Arabidopsis thaliana: one gene and its partner. The protein of the gene in region 2 purifies or fractionates together with the protein of the main gene of each other region. This does not show direct contact. Each region holds a gene or a part of one and is shown on either strand. Other genes may lie near its edges.

What was found. Proteins that work in one complex are often made in the same cells at the same time.
Region 1: the proteins of BBX21 (region 2) and BBX32 purify together in Arabidopsis thaliana (affinity purification with western blotting, with the first as the bait; one study listed by BioGRID). This does not show direct contact.

The regions. Positions count from the first base shown.
Region 1 is NC_003074.8:7,411,918-7,415,507, reverse strand, and holds BBX32 (B-box 32), read left to right. Parts: upstream 1-1,780; 5' UTR 1,781-2,117; coding exon 2,118-2,795; 3' UTR 2,796-3,063; downstream 3,064-3,590. Other genes in the region: MNS2 (alpha-mannosidase 2), read left to right, coding at 1-29, 224-332, 425-526, 662-742, 822-992, 1,128-1,379; AT3G21140 (Pyridoxamine 5'-phosphate oxidase family protein), read left to right, coding at 3,422-3,590.
Region 2 is NC_003070.9:28,364,063-28,368,239, reverse strand, and holds BBX21 (salt tolerance homolog2), read right to left. Parts: upstream 2,417-4,177; 5' UTR 2,182-2,416; coding exon 1,990-2,181; intron 1,895-1,989; coding exon 1,469-1,894; intron 1,220-1,468; coding exon 842-1,219; 3' UTR 502-841; downstream 1-501. UniProt on the Arabidopsis thaliana protein: Transcription activator that acts as a positive regulator of seedling photomorphogenesis. Acts downstream of COP1 and play an important role in early and long-term adjustment of the shade avoidance syndrome (SAS) responses in natural environments.

The sequences.
Region 1 (3,590 bases), on a different chromosome or scaffold from region 2:
AACAAAACTTCAGCAGTGAAACACTATAGGTAAGTTTAACTCTAGTCTACTGAGTGTATATATGTCTGATTGATTCAAGTCCGCTAAGTTCAACCAGCTGCCATCACATTTATCTTTCTGCTTGATATCTATGTTCTTCTTTTCTTTTCTGGTCTTTTAGTTTCAACATCTTTAGCCGAACAATAATAATTTGTACTGTTATTACTTGACATCTTGGCATCAGAGATATGTGGGAGAAGTCAATGAATGGTCTGCTAAGCTTGGTTAAGAAATCAACACCTTTGTCGTTTACATATATCTGTGAGAAGAGTGGAAATTCTTTGATCGATAAGGTAAACCCATCTGTTCATTGTTTCCATTGTATTACGTGAAAATTCTTCATCGCCTGGCATTTCCAATCTCATTATTTCTCATATATATTAAGATGGATGAATTGGCATGCTTTGCTCCTGGAATGTTGGCTTTAGGAGCATCTGGGTATAGTGATCCTGCTGAAGGAAAGAAGTTTCTCACACTCGCTGAAGAGGTAAACTTATGACTTGAATGATCTTTGATCATAGCGTCGTAAGTGCTTCAGATCTTTCGAATTTTTCGCTCTCTGCTTTTCTGATTTAGGCTGCTGAGATATAGCCTTTATTGCTATTTTCCACATATTTTGCAGCTTGCGTGGACATGTTATAACTTTTACCAATCAACTCCAACAAAACTGGCTGGGGAGAATTATTTCTTCAACTCTGGGAGTGTATGTCATTTGCCTGTCTTTTTCAAACACATTGTTTATTTTATGCGTTATTTATTGTTTAGTATACATGATGATTCAGGACATGAGTGTTGGAACGTCGTGGAACATCTTGAGACCAGAAACTGTCGAATCACTGTTTTACCTCTGGCGGTTAACTGGAAACAAGACATATCAAGAGTGGGGATGGAATATATTTGAAGCATTTGAGAAGAACTCGCGCATAGAGTCTGGATATGTTGGTTTGAAGGATGTAAGTTTTCCGTAGGCGCTTAATTAGATCCTGCATTGTTAAAACCTTGGTGAATTGAATTATATCATTCCACCATCTATATTAGTAATTGAGTGTAACTGATGGTAGATTCTTATTTCTTTCAATCATTTCCAGGTTAATACAGGCGTTAAGGACAACAAGATGCAAAGTTTCTTCCTTGCAGAGACACTCAAGTATCTCTATCTACTCTTCTCGCCGACAACAGTCATTCCTTTAGACGAGTGGGTATTCAACACCGAAGCTCATCCACTTAAGATTAAGTCTCGAAACGATCAGGTAAATCTCAAACAATCCAACAAAGTACTGCTACGAAAACCGGCATTTAGAATACGCCAGAGGCATTATGGTCGGATAACAAAGAAGTAAAACTCCCTGGAGAGGTCACAGTGTGATTCGTAGGAGGGGCTCTATGGATATATCTTAACAGAGCAATTGGATTTAGCTTGGCTATTCAAAGACCCTTTTATTTAAGAAACCATTTTTGGAAAGATTTCAAGATATAGACTATTGTTGTACTAGTTGGGATCAGAACCCAAACAGGTTCACCACAGTTTACACCTTGTGTTTTGTATCCTTACTCCTTAGATTATAAATTAAGAGTATTATCTTCTGTTTTGTATTCGACAAAAGATCAATGTATAAAAGTTTATATAAAAGACTGCAACAATGCAGAAGAAATGTAATGGAAGCAACCAAGAAAAGAAGAAGAAGCAATTTGCAATGAGACCAAGTCTCTGAAAAGACATTAGTGTTGACTAAATCTCCACGTCACACCAAAAGGAAGACGAATGACTTGGCGGCTAGTGTAATAGTTTTAAAAATGACCACATAATCTCACCAGCCTCAAAACCTCACGACACGTCATTCTCTCCAATTCTACAAACACCATTCATTTCATTTCCCTAAAAAATTATGGCTCATGTAAGTTTCTTTGATGTGTGAACTGTGGAAGAGACTACTCTCATCAACCATGAACCATAAAAACTCCACCGCTCTTTCTCTCCCTCAATCATTTACATCTCTTCCTTAAATCTCTCTTCCCACCATCATCATTCCAAACCAATTCTCTCTCACTTCTTTCTGGTGATCAGAGAGATCGACTCAATGGTGAGCTTTTGCGAGCTTTGTGGTGCCGAAGCTGATCTCCATTGTGCCGCGGACTCTGCCTTCCTCTGCCGTTCTTGTGACGCTAAGTTCCATGCCTCAAATTTTCTCTTCGCTCGTCATTTCCGGCGTGTCATCTGCCCAAATTGCAAATCTCTTACTCAAAATTTCGTTTCTGGTCCTCTTCTTCCTTGGCCTCCACGAACAACATGTTGTTCAGAATCGTCGTCTTCTTCTTGCTGCTCGTCTCTTGACTGTGTCTCAAGCTCCGAGCTATCGTCAACGACGCGTGACGTAAACAGAGCGCGAGGGAGGGAAAACAGAGTGAATGCCAAGGCCGTTGCGGTTACGGTGGCGGATGGCATTTTTGTAAATTGGTGTGGTAAGTTAGGACTAAACAGGGATTTAACAAACGCTGTCGTTTCATATGCGTCTTTGGCTTTGGCTGTGGAGACGAGGCCAAGAGCGACGAAGAGAGTGTTCTTAGCGGCGGCGTTTTGGTTCGGCGTTAAGAACACGACGACGTGGCAGAATTTAAAGAAAGTAGAAGATGTGACTGGAGTTTCAGCTGGGATGATTCGAGCGGTTGAAAGCAAATTGGCGCGTGCAATGACGCAGCAGCTTAGACGGTGGCGCGTGGATTCGGAGGAAGGATGGGCTGAAAACGACAACGTTTGAGAAATATTATTGACATGGGTCCCGCATTATGCAAATTAGGACATTTAGTGTTTAGTGCCTTAATTATAGTTTGTGTCATTGATCTGTTTGATCTTTCTTTTCAACGTAAACTAAAAATGGTCTGAACCAATTGAGATGATAGATATTTCTTTAGAGGAGATTTAATTTTTTTAATCAACAGTAAGAAGATTTTAGAAACGGAATAATGGTAATCCAATAGTCATTATCAGGTTCTTTTGAGATGAAATTGAAATCTTTTCTTTCCCAATTTTTTTAAACAAAGATAATTTCTTAGAATATTATGTTATTATCAATAAAAATTGTAAATTGAAAAGAAACTGATTTTCTTATTTCAAGGAAAATTCGTTATTATCAACATCAAAACAAAACAAAAGAGAATAGAAAATACATCAAAAGTAATTCCTAAGGACAAAAGTAATCGTAATCCAACTATAAAAAAAAAGCCAAAAGAAAAAGAAAAACCCTTATATGTATGTGTGTGTTATACAAACCCTACTCTGGAAAAGTCCTAATTCCTAAAGCTACTTTCAACAAAGACGCCTGAAGCATCTGCCTATAGTGAAAGATCAGAAGACTCTTCAACCAAAATCTTATTCTCATCCACCATGGAAGCTCTCTTCACTTCAACACACACACCCAATTTACAGACTAAGCCTCTCCTCAAATCTCCGCTGCCCACTTCTTCCCAGTCTTCGTGTTGGTTTTGTAATTCGCTACCCAAAACGCAATTCCCGAAGCTGAGACTCAGTAATGGATCAAGTCACGGGCTTCGTA
Region 2 (4,177 bases):
AAAATAGGCCTCAATTAGTTGGGCCTGCTAAACACAACGAAAGATATATAAATATAACCCAAAAAAAAAAAAAAAGATATATAAATATAACTCTTATTTTCTTACTTGTTTTTGTACCATTTTAGTTTGGTAACTTTAACAAGTAAACGACTAGTCGGTACTTTAATTAATTTAAATATGTTTTGCCTGCCATGATGAGGTGTCCATACTCCTTAGTCATCAGAGATCTATGCAGGCATATTCAATCAGAAAACAAAAAATATGCCGATGGGCGATGGTGATGGGCACGTTATTGTGAATTTGTCTCCATTATATGCTCTTTTTCTTATCGTTTATTTCCTAAGATATATTATTTATATACAAACCAAATCCAAGAACAATCCTTTCCCCATATGGGCTATGGGGACTGAAGAGGCAGAAGATGAAAAAGAAAAGACTGTCCTCATATACTAAAATATACGCACCACTAGATTTCATTCATCGAATTTGTAACTTTACTTTAAAGTTTGACTTTCTTTTCCTTGAGAAAACAAAAATAATGTAGATGATAATTGAAAATAAACTAATTTTTCTCTGAAATCTTGTTTCCACGACAAAAAGAAAGTTTACAAATTAAACAACGAGTCATAGGATTTTGTACATGAAACATGTGCATTAATGGAAAGAGATTATATGATTATTACAAAGATTAAAACAGCAAAACCGCAATCACACTCAAATTTACAAAATGACAGAACACAAAAAAAGAGAGAGCCTAATTCTATTGAGATCAAAGTTGGGAGAAATGAAGGAGAAACAAACAAACAAAAAAAAAACTCCCCCATTTAGGGAGATAGTAAAATTACCAGAAAGATCTAAACTTTTTATTAGAAGAAAGAGGAGGAGGAGTGATCTGTGGGACAGTGAAGCCACCATCATCATACCATCTCTTGTTGTTCTGTCCTTGTTGTTTCATGTTTTGTATTGGAGCAAAAGACACTACTTCTGGTGATGTTTCTTTGTTGTACATCCCAAACTGTATGTTGTTGTCTTGAGAAAAGTATTGATTTGGGTATGAAGAAGGAAGAGTTTGTGGAATCTGAGGGACCCAAATCCCTAAATTCTTAGATGGAAGTGACACTGTATTGTTGTTGTTGTTGTTGTTGTTGTTGTTGTTTCTCTTAGTGTTGTTGTCATCTTCTGGTTCCATATATGGTAACACTCCATCATCATCACCACTCTGCAATCACACAAAAGATAACCAACAACTCTTTTTCAGAAATTTTACACAAATACCCAATATAGTAAAAAGATCTATCCACATCTATAAAGTTTGTTACCTTTATAATACATTAATACCTCATTAGATCTAAAATGATATGATATTACGTAAACAGAGGAAAAAAAAATTCAATCTACTAAGGGTCATTGTCAAATCTTGAAATCAACTAAACTTGGATCTTTCTTGATTAAAGAGATAAGAACAAACCTTAGAGAAACCATAAGTAGGAAGAGAGGAATCGAGGAAATCCTCAACGTGCCAACCAGGTAACGTATCCATCAAATACTCAGAAATCGTGCTTGTGGATCCCCACTGATTCACCGACGCATCACCGCCGTTGATCTTCGAAAAGGGTTGGATCTTGTTGCTCTGAGGAGGAGCTGAGAGAGGTTTCTTGAGAGGAGGAGGATTAGAGATTGATGATCCAGGGACAGAGAAATCTTGGTTGCTTGAAGAAGAAGAAGAAGATTTCGAAGTAGGTTTGTAAACAGACGATGTTGCAGAGAGCTTAACCCCTGTAAGAAGAAACCTATCGTGTTTCTTTGTGTGTTCGTTCGCAGCGTGGATCGATGAATCGCAATCTTTGCATAAAATAGCTCTATCTTGTTGACAGAACAACAGAGCTTTTTTATCCTAGAGTTCAATAAAAAGAAAAAGTTTCAGATTCTTGATCGGCAAAAACGATTGAATTAAGACAACAAAACTCATGTCCGAAGTTAGAAAGAGACCTGACAGATGTCGCAGAGAGGAGAGGAGGTGTTGGAAGAAGAAGGATAAAGGAGAGAGAAACGGAGATGTTTAGAGGCGAGTTTGTTAGCGTGGTGGACTTGGTGGTCGCAGCCGCCGCAGAGAGATGCTTCGTCGGCCGTGCAAAACACCGACGCTTCTTCTTTATCGCAGACGTCGCACCTGATCTTCATCGATCGATTAAGAGAGAGATAGAGATGGTGGTAGTTGAAAATGATAGGAGAGAAGATGTGAGATCTTCTTATGGAGTAGTAATGTAAGAGGGTACTTATGTAATATCAGCTCCTCTTTTTTCCTTCTTTCTTGTTTCTCAAATCATATCTTTTTTTTTTTGTTTAATTATATCTCTCTTTTTCTTTTCTTTTTTATTCCTAGAAAATTATTTCTTGTTTTATATGAGATGTCCATGAAGTAAAAAAAATAATTAATTATTACTTTGTTGGATTAATAAAACACAGCGATATAATGAGAGCTTGACTGATGAGAAGTAATTATGCCCATGATAGTTCGGTAGTTCCTCAATGTAAACTAATTATATTTTCCAGCAAAAAAAAATAAGAATGATATATTCAAATAAATTTATTGGCATTCCATTCGATTGTTTGATAGCATTCAAAAAAACAAAATAAATAGAACTTAAATAGTAGCAATGAAAAATTTTCTGTTTAATTCTCCTAACTTGGAAACAAAAAATTGAAGTAGACAATGTTTTCATAATGAAACTAAAAATGATGGAAAACTCACTTATATACCATCGAATGTAAACAACATTAACTCTTTAAAACTTCACTTTTCGATTGACTAATTTAACTTAAGAAATGTGAACAATCAGACAGGTTTAAACTTGTATTTTTACTAGTATCATACCTATACGTACGCTTATGTCAAAACATTTACATCAGAATTAAGATGATCGATATAACACAACCTTGCTTTTAGCCGATTGATCTCATGTTTATTCAAATTTCCATCTATATTATACTTCATGGCATGCAGTCACGCACGCCAACTCCAAAATAGAGGATCGGATAAGATTATATTTGAATATATCATCTTGTTATATTTTATTGTGTTATCTTTGTTTAGAAGATTATATAGTGGAAGCCCGAAGAATTTTGCACTGGACGTGGATGGTGTGAAGGCTGAAGCGCGGGTATCGAACCAAGTGGGACTAGTGGGAGTCTTTCCTTCTACATCAATAATTAAACAGATAATGTCTCAGTGGTTTCCTTTTATGACAAATTAGAATTACATTTCTCTAGTCATTTTATTTTTATTTTGCTTTTATTTCTATCTTGAATTCTGAAAGATTGTTCAGTCAAAATAAATAAATAATTAGATGCCCAATAATGCTTATTAATTTCAGTTATAATTTTATCAGTTCAAATATATATAAATGGAATGAAAATCAAATGTCATTTAGTTCGGCTTGATTCTTAATACTTTTTTTTGGTTTTTATACAGATTTGTTAGCTACGTATATTTTCTAGTCTTAAAACAGGGGAAAACCTAGCTAGCAAATGGAGACAAAACTAGATTTTTCTTTTTAGTATGATAAAACCTTACATGGTTTCTTAAAAGTAAAAAGATATTAATTGGTTCGTATAGATATATAAAATATTAAGGAATAAGGATAAGTTTCAAAATCTAGAACCACTATCAAGTAACAACCAAAGATTATAAAGTTTACTTTTTCAGGAGTGAAATCTAGTAGAACTGTATCTTGTAAATTACTACATTATATCCCTGAAAAAGCATTATATATATTAAAGAATAAAAGATTCTCCAATTAACTAAAGGCGTATGCTTAAAGAAACTTTGAACCCATATTGGAATATGATAATGATTTGAAAGTTGTAATTCTCTTTTAAGAATCCATGTATATGCCCCCTAAATATCTATAATAGGAGTCCCCATAGTCCATAGAAATACCCTTTTAGTCGTGGAAGCTCGATCCAATGTTGCATTGTTGCAGTGGTTAATCAAGAATTTATAAATGTTTCTATGGTATGAAAATGATTGAAAATACTCAGATTGAAAATGATCTTTGTAATCATATATCTCCCGCAGTTCTAATGTTACTAAATGTTATATCAGTCAAGTTAATGTAGATTTTTATTTTTCAAAACAATAATAAAGAAACATGTGCCAATCAGTAATTAACATGTT